3 linked regions of the Canis lupus familiaris genome follow. The protein of the gene in region 2 interacts with the protein of the main gene of each other region in a pairwise test. Links are inferred from orthologs where the notes say so. Each region holds a gene or a part of one and is shown on either strand. Other genes may lie near its edges. The genes, in order: RNF111, UBE2W and RNF26.

The links.
Region 1: the proteins of UBE2W (region 2) and RNF111 interact in a two-hybrid assay, tested with the Homo sapiens proteins (2 studies listed by BioGRID and IntAct). The link is inferred for Canis lupus familiaris from reciprocal best matches to the Homo sapiens genes UBE2W and RNF111.
Region 3: the proteins of UBE2W (region 2) and RNF26 interact in a two-hybrid assay, tested with the Homo sapiens proteins (2 studies listed by BioGRID and IntAct). The link is inferred for Canis lupus familiaris from reciprocal best matches to the Homo sapiens genes UBE2W and RNF26.

Annotation. Positions count from the first base shown.
Region 1 is NC_049251.1:24,296,032-24,299,679, forward strand, and holds part of RNF111 (E3 ubiquitin-protein ligase Arkadia), read left to right. Parts: intron 1-661; 5' UTR 662-680; coding exon 681-1,560; intron 1,561-3,648. UniProt on the Homo sapiens protein: E3 ubiquitin-protein ligase. Required for mesoderm patterning during embryonic development. Acts as an enhancer of the transcriptional responses of the SMAD2/SMAD3 effectors, which are activated downstream of BMP.
Region 2 is NC_049250.1:22,845,581-22,849,228, reverse strand, and holds part of UBE2W (ubiquitin-conjugating enzyme E2 W), read left to right. Parts: intron 1-1,572; coding exon 1,573-1,675; intron 1,676-3,648. UniProt on the Homo sapiens protein: Accepts ubiquitin from the E1 complex and catalyzes its covalent attachment to other proteins.
Region 3 is NC_049226.1:14,590,575-14,594,906, reverse strand, and holds RNF26 (E3 ubiquitin-protein ligase RNF26), read left to right. Parts: upstream 1-1,391; 5' UTR 1,392-1,978; coding exon 1,979-3,283; 3' UTR 3,284-4,199; downstream 4,200-4,332. UniProt on the Homo sapiens protein: E3 ubiquitin-protein ligase that plays a key role in endosome organization by retaining vesicles in the perinuclear cloud.

The sequences.
Region 1 (3,648 bases), on a different chromosome or scaffold from region 2:
ACAGAGTGTGCTTGCATACAAGTGCACAACCAGGGGGAGCTGCAGAGGGAGGAGGGAGAAGCAGACTGTCTGCTGAGCAGGGAGCCAAACACGGGGCTTGATCCCAGGACTGGGATCATGACCTGAGCTGAAGGCAGTTGCTCAACTGACTGAGCCACCCAGGTGCCCCGAAGAGAAGCTATATTTATACTAGTTAATTATTTTTAGCAATCTAATACAGTAACCATCTAGATGTACAAAAAATATTTAATTACTACTTTCAGGATACTGGGAGAAAAAGTGTCTAGTCAAAGTCTTTTGAATTCTAGTCTTTTAATCTATTTTTACTATAATAGGTTTTAAAGAAATTGTTAGGTTTTAACCAAATATGTTGCTGGAGATAGGAAGATTATACAGCAAGGTAAGTCTTTGGTTAATAGAAGTTTTCAAGTAGGCTTATGTTCAGGTAGGTTTGTGATCTTCACTTCTAAAAGTTGGGTATGTGGTAGAGGTATCAGAGAAAAATATTGTAAAAGAACAGTAAAATTACTTATTGTAGCCATTTTATATCTTGGTATATCAGGAAAAGGTATGCTATTAGTGTTCTCAGTGGAATCTGAAACTCTTCAGTTAATAATAAAACACATTAACTTTCTTTTAAATCTCTAATTATGTCTTCTAGGCCTTCCTTAAAGTTTCCCATGTCTCAATGGACTCCTGAATATAACAAGCTCTATACCTTAAAAGTGGATATGAAGAGTGAGATTCCTTCTGATGCGCAAAAGACACAGGAGAGTCTGAAAGGGATCCTCTTGCATCCAGAGCCCATTGGGGCAGCCAAAAGTTTTCCTGCGGGAGTTGAGATGATTAACAGTAAAGTGGGAAATGAATTCTCTCATTTGTGTGATGATTCTCAAAAACAAGAGAAGGACATGAATGGTAACCAACAAGAGCAAGAAAAAAGTGTTGTTGTGAGGAAAAAACGCAAAAGCCAGCAGGCTGGCCCTTCTTACATGCAAAATTGTGTTAAAGAGAACCAGGGAATATTAGGATTGAGGCAACATCTAGAAACACCAAGCGATGAAGATAATGATTCCTCTTTTAGTGACTGTCTTTCTTCTCCTTCATCTAGTCTGCATTTTGGAGATTCTGATACTGTGACTTCGGATGAGGATAAAGAAGTCTCTGTAAGACATTCCCAGGCAATTTTGAGCGCTAAAGGTAGAACTCATAGTGCACGGTCCCAGAAGTGGCCTCGGACAGAGACAGAATCTGTTTCAGGATTGTTAATGAAAAGACCCTGTTTTCATAGCAGTTCATTAAGGAGACTTCCATGCAGAAAGAGATTTGTAAAAAATAATTCCTCACAGAGGACACAGAAACAAAAAGAGAGAATATTGATGCAGAGAAAAAAAAGAGAAGTGTTAGCCCGAAGAAAATATGCATTGCTCCCCAGTTCTAGTAGTTCCAGTGAGAATGACCTCAGCAGCGAATCCTCTTCCAGCTCATCAACTGAAGGTGAAGAAGATTTGTTTGTTTCTACCAGTGAAAACCACCAAAACAATCCAACTGTTCCCTCAGGTAAAGATGTTTCTTAAGTTGAGCAAAACATGAAAGCATTGTGTTTGTGCTTAATTTTCTTCTACATTTTAGTGATTTTATTGCTTTTAGAAGGAATATGAGGTTCAATTTACTTTTATTTTTAAGCCATATGAACAAATTACCAACTGTAGAATCAAACCATGACTCCAATTCTAAGATCCAGATTTTTGTATTTTATACTTTTTTGGATAGCTCTGTGATGGATATCTTTCACATTCTACGAGAGTAAAAACACTAAAAAAAAATTACTTAATATTGTTTTTCCTTTAAGTACGCTATTTTTTTTTAAAAGATTTATTTATTTATTCATGAGAGGCAAAGACACAGGGAGAGGGAGAAGCACACTTCATGCAGGGAGCCTGACATCGGTCGGACTCCTTCCCAGGTCTCCAGGATCACGCCCTGGGCTGAAGGTGGCACTAAACCGCTGAGCCACCCAGGCTGCCCTAAGTATTCTATTCTTATTGTTTACTAATTACCTTGTCATGATCTTTGTAATTGAAAAATAATTTCAAGTATTTAAGAGATGCCTTTATTCTAATACTAGAACTTTTAGTTTTGACAGTGCTCAGTAGAGCACATGATTGATCAGTTAAAATTGAATTGATAAGGATCAGTTTGAGTGCACTCTCCCCTCCTCACAGTAAATATTATATTTAGCTAGAATAAGATTATGTGCAGTCTCTGAAGTATAAGTATGTTACATATATTACCACTTTACATTTACAAATTTGCTGTAATTTAAAGGAAGTTGATGAAGTGAGCATTGAGGAGTAAAGTCTGAACTGAGGGAAAAGGTTAATTTCTTATGAAAGAATGGGGCATTAAGGAGAGCTTTTTCGAGGGCTACAATCATGGTTTTTAATACTGACACAAAGGTTTCCCAGTCTTTGCCTGATGTCCTGCTTGTGCCATTTTCCCCTCTTTCTTTTCTCCTTCTGTATAGGTTACTTCTTTTTCCAAGACTCCTTTCCTCTTTTTATTTTTCTATCTTTGCCAGAACTCCAAAACTATAACTTTGATCTTTAGTCTTAGCCATGATCAGTTCATTTTTTTTTTTTAACTTCCTCAAATATTTGTTTTAAAGAGTTCATTGAGAGCCCCCAAGGTTGGGAGGTGGTTACAACAGCCATTCTCTGAGGTTTCTTGAGATACAGGGAAGTGAGAATAGGAATTGTCTTGCTTAGTTGCCGCATTTCACATTTTCCTCAGGTGGTTAGAATGTGAAGACTTGTTTGGGGAAGAGGGAGCAGCAGAGCCCAATTTCTGCTTGAAATTAATGAGGCAGGATGGTTGGAGACGTGAAGCAGAAGTTCCAAGGAGCTGGTATTTGTAAGAGGCATGAGAATAGAGGTAATGTAGGTCAGTATCAGTGCCTGTTTCTAGGAAGAAAGGAGTTCATATACTCCCAAGTATTCAAGATAAATGCAAACTCTGTAATTCATTTTGAAATCTTATTTAATACTGTAGTATGTGGTTTTTGCTATCTTTCTTGGAAGAATTGCATTTTTTCAACTACATATAATATTTTGAGACACTTAAGAGTAATGTGTGTCTCTAGAAATACAAACCCAAATGTTAAAACAGATTCTTTTGATTTTTTTCTGGTTTTTAGACCAGTGTTCTGTTTTAAACTAATTTGTTTTTTTTAAAATAATGGTTTAAGAGTAACATTCACATAGTGTGCAGTTTTAAAAGTACCAAGAATGTTTAAAATTAAAAAAACGTTTCCCACTTCTTCTTAGGTCCCAGTTTTATTACCTAGAAGTAGTTAGTTTCTTCTCTCCTTCAGAAAATGTGGAACATATATAAGGGTAAATAAATAATGGGGGTTTAAAAACTACTAATGTGTGTAGTTATAGCCTCGTTTGAAAAAAATGGTTGCATAATATTTCCTTTGTATGGATGTTCCATAATTTATTTAGCCAGGTTTTGTTGATGGATGTTTGCTGCATTGAACTACCTTGTACACACAGTTTTGCACACCTAGGCAAGCATAAAGGCATAATTTCTAAAAGTAAATAGGAAGTTACATGCATTTAAAAATTTGCTAGTTAAAAAAATAAA
Region 2 (3,648 bases):
AAGTAATAAATTTCTATACGTAAAAAGTTTAAGAGGAAAGGAATTGGCTAGTGCTATAATTAGGAACTCATTCTTATGGTTGGTCCACTTTTGCTTCTCAGTGTGGCCCCATCATCTTTGCCACCATTAATCCTTTTAAAAAAATCATTTTCTACTCCTATCCCCTTTTTAAAATTTTATCTATTTTTTTTTAATTAATTTTTTAGAGAGAGAATGCGTGCATGAGTGGTAGGAAGGAGCAGAGGAAGAGAGAGAATCTTAAACAGGCTCCACACTAGGTTTGGAGGGGCTTGATTTCAGGACCCTGAGATCATGACTTGAGCTGAAATGGAGAGTTGGATGCTTAACTGACTGAGGCATCCAGGCACCCCAGTTTCCCTTTTTTGAAATTTATTTATTTCATTTATTTTTAAGATTTATTTATTTGCGAGAGAGAGAGAGAGAGAGAGAGAGAGCATAAGCAGGGGGAGGGGCAGAGGGAAAGGGAGAGGGAGAAAAGACTCCTTCCCCTCCTTTTTTTTTTTTTTTTAAAGCGCAAGAGATAGGGGGTCCTGGCTGGCTCAGTTGATAGAGCATGTGACTCTTGATCTCGGGGTTGTGAGTTCAAGCTCCTTGCTGGGTGTAGAGCTTACTTTAAATAAATAAACAAGAGATAAGTGTACAGGTTATAATTTAAAAGAGATTTGTAGGGATCCCTGGGTGGCGCAGCGGTTTGGCGCCTGCCTTTGGCCCAGGGCGCGATCCTGGAGACCCGGGATCGAATCCCACGTCGGGCTCCCGGTGCATGGAGCCTGCTTCTCCCTCTGCGTATGTCTCTGCCTCTCTCTCTCTCTCTCTGTGTGTGACTATCATAAATAAATAAAAATTTAAAAAAAAAAAAAAAGAGATTTGTATTCATGATTATTATATGTGGAAACAAAGTAAGCTTGTAAAGAGGCCATGGAAATCTCTTCTGAGTTTCATTAAATACCTGAAACAGACAAAGGAAAGACAGTATAGAGCCTTGAGTAGCTATCAGAGTAAGTGGACTAATGTTAGTTTAGCTGCTTTTTCCTTTGGTCTCTAGAACACTGACGAGAAGATAGATCTAACAGCCACAAATTCTCTAGTCATTTTTGATACCTACTTCGTCCATTGCTTTTAAAGTGATATCAGATGGGCAGTTCATTAGTTTGATATTATCTATATAAAATCTTTTCAGTCATTGTGGAAATACTGTTTTGGAAAAATAAGACAGCATAAATTGAGTATCAAGAGTGCAGGATTTGGTGTCAGCACACTTGAGTAGGGTTTTCATTTTGTGTTCTTAGACCTGGATTAAAATTTGGCTCTGTCCTTTGCTAGTTGCCTGACTTTGATCTAGTTACTTAACCTTTGAGCGTCAGAGAAGGATATAGGGCAAGGGGTGTTGATACCAACTCTAATTGTTGGGAGAATGAAGTGCACTGTTACACATGAATGACTCCTATCCCAATGCCTGGCTTAAAGGAAGTCTTCAGTCTTCCCTTTTCTTTCTCACCCCAATTCTTCTTATCTGAAGTTTTTTTGTTTTTGTTTTTTTTCCTATTCTAGGTGGATCGTAGACATGGAAGGTGCACCAGGTACCTTATATGAAGGGGAAAAATTTCAGCTTCTATTTAAGTTTAGTAGTCGATATCCTTTTGACTCTCCTCAGGTAACTGCCATGTTTTTAACATTTTATTGTATTTTTAGATTTTAGCAAAATACTAAATTAGTGACTTTTGACTAAATACAAATTTATAAAGAAATTCATTATAATTATATGAATAGATTTGTTCCTTTATCTGTAATATAATCAAGATCTTTATGAACATTTTCCTTTATTGAGATTAGGGTTTGCTACTTTTGTGCTTTAAGAAATTAACATTGTTTTTTATGTATAAATGTTAGCAGAAAAGGGGATGGAAAATCTAACTCAGGCCTATGGGTTGTGGGAGAATATAGCATTTTGGAATAACTGGAGGCACTTATTCCTAGATAAGATGATAGAATGATCATGTGATAAGTCAGGTGCTTTGTTGAAAGGAACAGTTCTTTGATTTTGCATTGACATGCTATACTTACAGTCTTTTAGTACTGTAAAGATAGAATATATTACCAAATGTTAAATATCTAAACATAAGCCCCAAATCTGATCATTATAATTTGAGGCACAGTTAGTTTAGGTAAATGGTTAATACTCAGACAAGGGATAATGGTGGTTGAGGAACTTTTTTGGGAGCTGTTTAACTGTGGTGAATGATTAATCTTTGGGAGTTAGAGAAAAGGAGATTCTAGGATGACTTCCAGATTTCTGGCTTGGTAAGATGGGTAAATGAGTTACTGGCAGCAAAATGTTGAGACTTAATGCCAATTCTATCTGGTACTGCTAGATAATGAGGTTCTGGATAATGAAACTTCTCAAGTATCTAAAACTCAACTTGTGAAGTGCTCAAATACTTTTTTTTTTTTGAGAAAAATAATCCGTTGCAACTTTAAATAGAATATAAACAATATCCTTGGCCATGTAGGCATATAGATGGAAGTCAGTTATTGATTGTGCTATAAATAAAAGAGATAATTTTTTAAATAAAGATACAGAATTAAATGGAAATGGACTTGAGTTCAGTTTTTGTGTGAGCAGGAAACTAAGATTAGGAAGCTCATTTTTATCATTTTCATAAAAATTAAAAATAAAACTAAGAGTTATGTGTTATCATGACCTCTAGGCCTTTATAGTAAGCATGTGTAGACTGATAAGAAAGCAAAACAAACATCATCTCTCTAGAAAATGACCTTCACGTTTTATAGCCTTTTTGCTTATCAGCATCATTTAAGATTGTTAATCCTTGAAGGCAGTGGGGTCGCAGGCATTCCCTTGTCACCTTCAGCCTGTTTTTATACTTCAACTAAGTTTGTTGAAGGTATGTGAGGAAAGAATGTGACTCACCAACTCCAAACTGTTGACTTAGGGAGATACTGGAGAAGGCTTACTCTGGGAGCCCACAGATTTTTCATCAGAGGAAAATAATATTTTATAAACATGAACCAAGTCAAAAGTATCCTCTAATCCTCTTAGTATTTAATTTAATTTATTTTTTAAAAAGATTTTATTTATTTATTCATGAGAGACACAGAGAGAGAGAGGCAGAGACCCAGGCAGAGGGAGAAGCAGGCTCCATGCAGGGAGCCCAATGTGGGACTCGATTCTGGGACTCCAGGATCACACCACCTGGGCTGAAGGTGGCGCTAAGCTGCTGAGCCACCGGGGCTGCCCAGTATTTAATTTTAAATCAGATATAGAACTCTTGACACATCATCTGAATTTCATCTCTTAATATTTCTGTAAGTTACAGTGTTCGTAATGGATTCTGTCATCCTTTCTTAAATTCTTTTTTTTTTCCTTCCCTGTTTTGACTTCTGTCCACTTTTTCTAATTCTTCTGATTTTGGTGTTCTCTGGGTTCTTTATTCAGTAGTCCCTTATTCTTCTCACTCTTTTCTCTAAAGTCTTCATCTGTCTTAAACAGCTACCTCCCAGATCTACAGCTCTGTGTACAGCCTCTTCTTTCTGAGGTTTAATTTCACACCCTTGTTGGATATAGCTACTTGGGTATCTCCAGATGTCTCAAATTTAACACATCTAAAC
Region 3 (4,332 bases), on a different chromosome or scaffold from region 2:
CCTGAGCTGAAGGCAGATGTCAATCGATGAGCCACCCAGGCGTCCCAATAACACAAATCTTTATGTTATTCTCCCTTGGTTAGAGAGATCAGCATTTTGTGGTTAGAGCTGAGATTGGGTTGGGAGTAGAGACAGACTATGCTGTAAAATCAAAAAGCAAAATAGGAAGTTGGAGTCTGATGGGCTAGAAAAAGGGAGGGGAAATCCCAAGAGGATGAGGACAAGGAAGAGGAAGGGGAAGAGGAAAGAGAAAGGGAAAACCCATCAGAAAACATTAAGTTGGGGCCTGACAGGTGTGAGAAAGAGGCTGGGGCAAAACCAGTGGAGTTTTAGGAACTGCAGCCCTTGCTCTGCACCATGCTATGACCCCTGGTGGGACCTCCACTTAGGCTTGCTGCCCTACTCAGCTTGCTATTAGGGGGGCTGTGGGGAGAGAGGGATTCAGGCAGTGTTTGGGGTTGGGTGAGTGAATCCGGACAAACGTTTTTTAGGTGTCCAAGCCTGGGGGAGGACAAAACATTCACATAAGCAGGAAATTAAAGCAATGGTGACCCGAGGGAAGGATAAGACTCCCAAGTATCCTTGGCATTACTAGAGAACACCAGATTTCCCAACAGATTTGGGATGGGGTCTCAAATACATTTGGAATATTAAAGGAAAGGATAACTTATTGAGGAACCTGGAGCCGCTCAGGTGTACATATCTAACTAGAATGCTCAAGTAAACAAATTAATAGGGGCTAGTGTAGGAGGGTGAGCTATTTCTGGTCTGTGGCCTCCTTGTCATAATGAGATAATCTCCTGAAGATGCTGAGAAAAGCTGATGACGCTGGAGGAAACAGTTTGGAATAGCAGCTTGGGAATCCCCTGTAACAACGTGTTTCCCCTTGGCAGCGGCTTGGGGGCAGGCACACCCTGAAACATTTTTGGTGTTTGGGTCTCCATTCTATTTGCCGGAGCTCGATAAACGCGACTGAATGAATGAATGAATGAATGAGTAGTGGAGGGCGAGGCCGCGAGTCTGAGCAGGGTGTGGAGGCGGTCATTCGAGAGCCCAGCTCAGAGAGAGAGTAACCTTCAACTCTCACCTAAAAGGTTCACGACCCGGGGACCAGTAGCAAGAACAGCACAGGTATCCGGTCCCAGTGCAAACAAACAAATCCTGCTTTGCTAGGGGGCGGGGCTAGGAGGAGGGCCTAGTCCGCTTCTGCCCTTCAACTGACCAATCGCTGCCTCAAGGGGGCGGGGATTTCAATCTGTCTCCGCCCTTCCCCTTGGAGAGTAAATACGTTCGGGCGCCGTTCAAACGGCCCAATGAATGCTCGAGGTTTCCTGCGGCTGCTCCTCAACGATTGGTCGGAGCTCGTCGTCCCGCCCTCCCTATCACGCTTTTTGCCCCGCCCCTTCGCACACAAGATGGCGGCGCCCAGCGGAGTAGAGGCCGCGCTTGGGGTTTGCTGAGGCTGACTCCCTTTCCCACGACCCCTTTGGACGCAAAGAGTCGCGAGCCCAGAGGACGGGGGCCGGGCGGGGACAGGGGTACCTGCGTAGCTGGACCGCGAGCCCGCGCCCAGCCTGCGCCGCCCCCACCCGGCCCCGGCCCGACACCATCCGTTCCCGGTCTCCTCTCGGTCTGACCCACTGCCCGGCCGTGGTTCGCCGCCACCTGGCCTCCAAAGCTGAGCTCCCTCCTCCGGCCCGGGCTCACCTCCACTTTAGAGATGTTTGGCTTCTTCCCTCCCAGACAGCCTGGCGTCCAAACCGGGACTCCTGGACCGGCGTCTGGCCCCCTTTTCCCTCCACTGAGACTCCACCTCGCTCTCACCCGTTTCTTGCTCAGATTCTTGCTTCTCTCTGGCTTGGAGACTGCTCACTTCCCTTCCAGATTGACCCCTGACGCCCCCAAACATTAGCAGCCTTGACACCCGCCCTCAACCTGGAGCCAGCTTTCCTTTCGGATTAACCTCCACAGCCCTATCATGGAGGCTGTGTACCTGATAGTGAATGGGGTGGGCCTTGTGCTGGACCTGCTGACCTTGGTGTTGGACCTCAACTTCCTGCTGGTGTCCTCCCTCCTGGCTTCCCTGGCCTGGCTGCTGGCCTTCATCTACAACCTGCCACACACGGTACTGACTAGTCTTTTGCACTTGGGCCGCGGAGTCCTGCTTTCGTTGCTGGCCTTGATCGAAGCCTTGGTCCGTTTCACCTTTGGGGGCTTGCAGGCCTTGTGTACTTTGCTGTACAGCTGCTACTCTGGCCTGGAGAGCTTAAAGCTCCTGGGGCACCTGGCCTCTCACGGGGCACTGAGGAGCCGGGAGATCCTGCACCGGGGGGTGCTCAATGTGGTCTCCAGTGGTCATGCTTTGCTGCGCCAGGCCTGTGACATCTGTGCCATTGCCATGAGCCTCGTGGCCTATGTGATCAACAGCCTGGTCAACATCTGCCTCATAGGCACTCAGAACCTTTTCTCCCTAATGCTGGCCCTGTGGGATGCAGTGATGGGGCCGCTGTGGAGGATGACGGACGTTGTAGCTGCCTTCCTAGCCCACATTTCCAGCAGTGCCGTGGCCATGGCCATCCTCCTCTGGACCCCCTGCCAGCTAGCACTGGAGCTCCTAGCGTCAGCTGCCCGCCTCCTGACCAACTTCGTGCTCGTCAATGTCACCGGCCTGGTGCTGCTGGCTTGCGTGCTGGCAGTGATGGTGACCGTGTTGCACCCGGACCTCACCCTGAGACTGGCCACCCGGGCACTCAGTCAGCTCCATGCCCGGCCATCTTATCACCGGCTCCGAGAGGATGTCGTGCGGCTGTCTCGCCTAGCCCTGGACTTGGAGGCCTGGCGTCGAGTCTGGAGCCGCAGCCTGCAGCTGGCCACCTGGCCAAACCGGGGAGGGGCGCCTGGGGCCCCTCAGGGTGGCCCTAGGAGGGTGCCCCCAGCCAGGACCTGGCGACAGGACACTCTTCCTGAAGCAGGGCCCAGATCAGAGGCAGAAGAGGAGGAAGAGGTCAGGATGGCCAGAGCAACAGCTGCCCGTGGCCGGGAGAGGCTCAACGAGGAGGAGTCTGTAGCTGGGCAAGACCCGTGGAAGTTGCTCAAGGAGCAAGAGGAGCGGAAAAAGTGTGTCATCTGCCAGGACCAGAGCAAGACGGTGCTGCTTCTGCCCTGCCGGCACCTGTGCCTGTGCCAGGCTTGCACTGAGATCCTGATGCGTCACCCCGTCTACCACCGCAACTGCCCACTCTGCCGCCGGGGCATTCTGCAGACCCTCAATGTCTACCTCTGAAGACTCCTTCCCTGCCAGCCCACTTTTTCATGCTCCATGAAGCCACCTGCGCTAGGACAGCTTTAACACCTGACCTCCTGGTTCCTGGCCTGTATCCCCTCCTGCCCCCATGGCTGTCATGCCAAGCCTCCAGGCCATATCTCCAGGACATTGAGATAGGATACTCTGGAAGACTATGAGCTGGGTGGGGCAGGGTAACAGCTTCTCCTTACCCAGTGCGTCCCGGTGATGCCGGAGGTGGTGAGTGTGTCACTATGCAAGGCCCCGAGGCTGTTGGGGACTCCCCTCCAGCTTGCCGGGGCCCATCCAGATGCCAATCTCTGGGGCTCCCCCTCTACTTCTGGTTTTTCTGTTGAGGATTTGCAAGTCCTCTCCCTGACTCTTCCCCATTCCCTCCCCAGCTTCAGCAGCCACAACACATCACTGTCATTTGGATGTTTTGGTAACTCAAGGGCCTTGAAATGAACTTGAACCTTTGCTTTCACTCGGAGCACCTGTGTGCACTGGTAGGCCTAGGGGATAGTATCTCTCAGGTGCCTTGAGAGTTACCATTTCTGTCCATCTTGATCTTATGAGACTCCCTCCCAACCAGATCCAACAGCTAGGATCAAGAGTTTACCCCTTGGGGTGAGATGGGTGTCTGCACCTGGCTTTGGGACCACATTACCCTCTGGCACCCCAGCACCACTGGGAGCCTCAGGAGGGATACCAGATTTCCACTCCTACCCCTTTCATTCCCACATCACAGAGAACAATAGTATTTCCCCTCTGTCTCTCCCTGACATCGGGGAGAAGCAGACTGTACACATTTATTTCACTAGGGTCCAAATACAGAAGGGGCCAGCCTAGGGGTATGCAGCTCCCTGATGGGTCTGTCTGGCCATGTTTCTGGTGAATAAATTTCTGTTGACAGCTCTGATGGCCTCTGTGTGCATCCTAACAGGGCTGAGCAGTTGGTCAGCAGTAAGTGCACCCTAACTGATGTGCAGCCGGGTCCTTCAGTCCTGCTGGAGTCACTGTGGTCTGTGAGGGAGCTGGTGGCAGAAGAG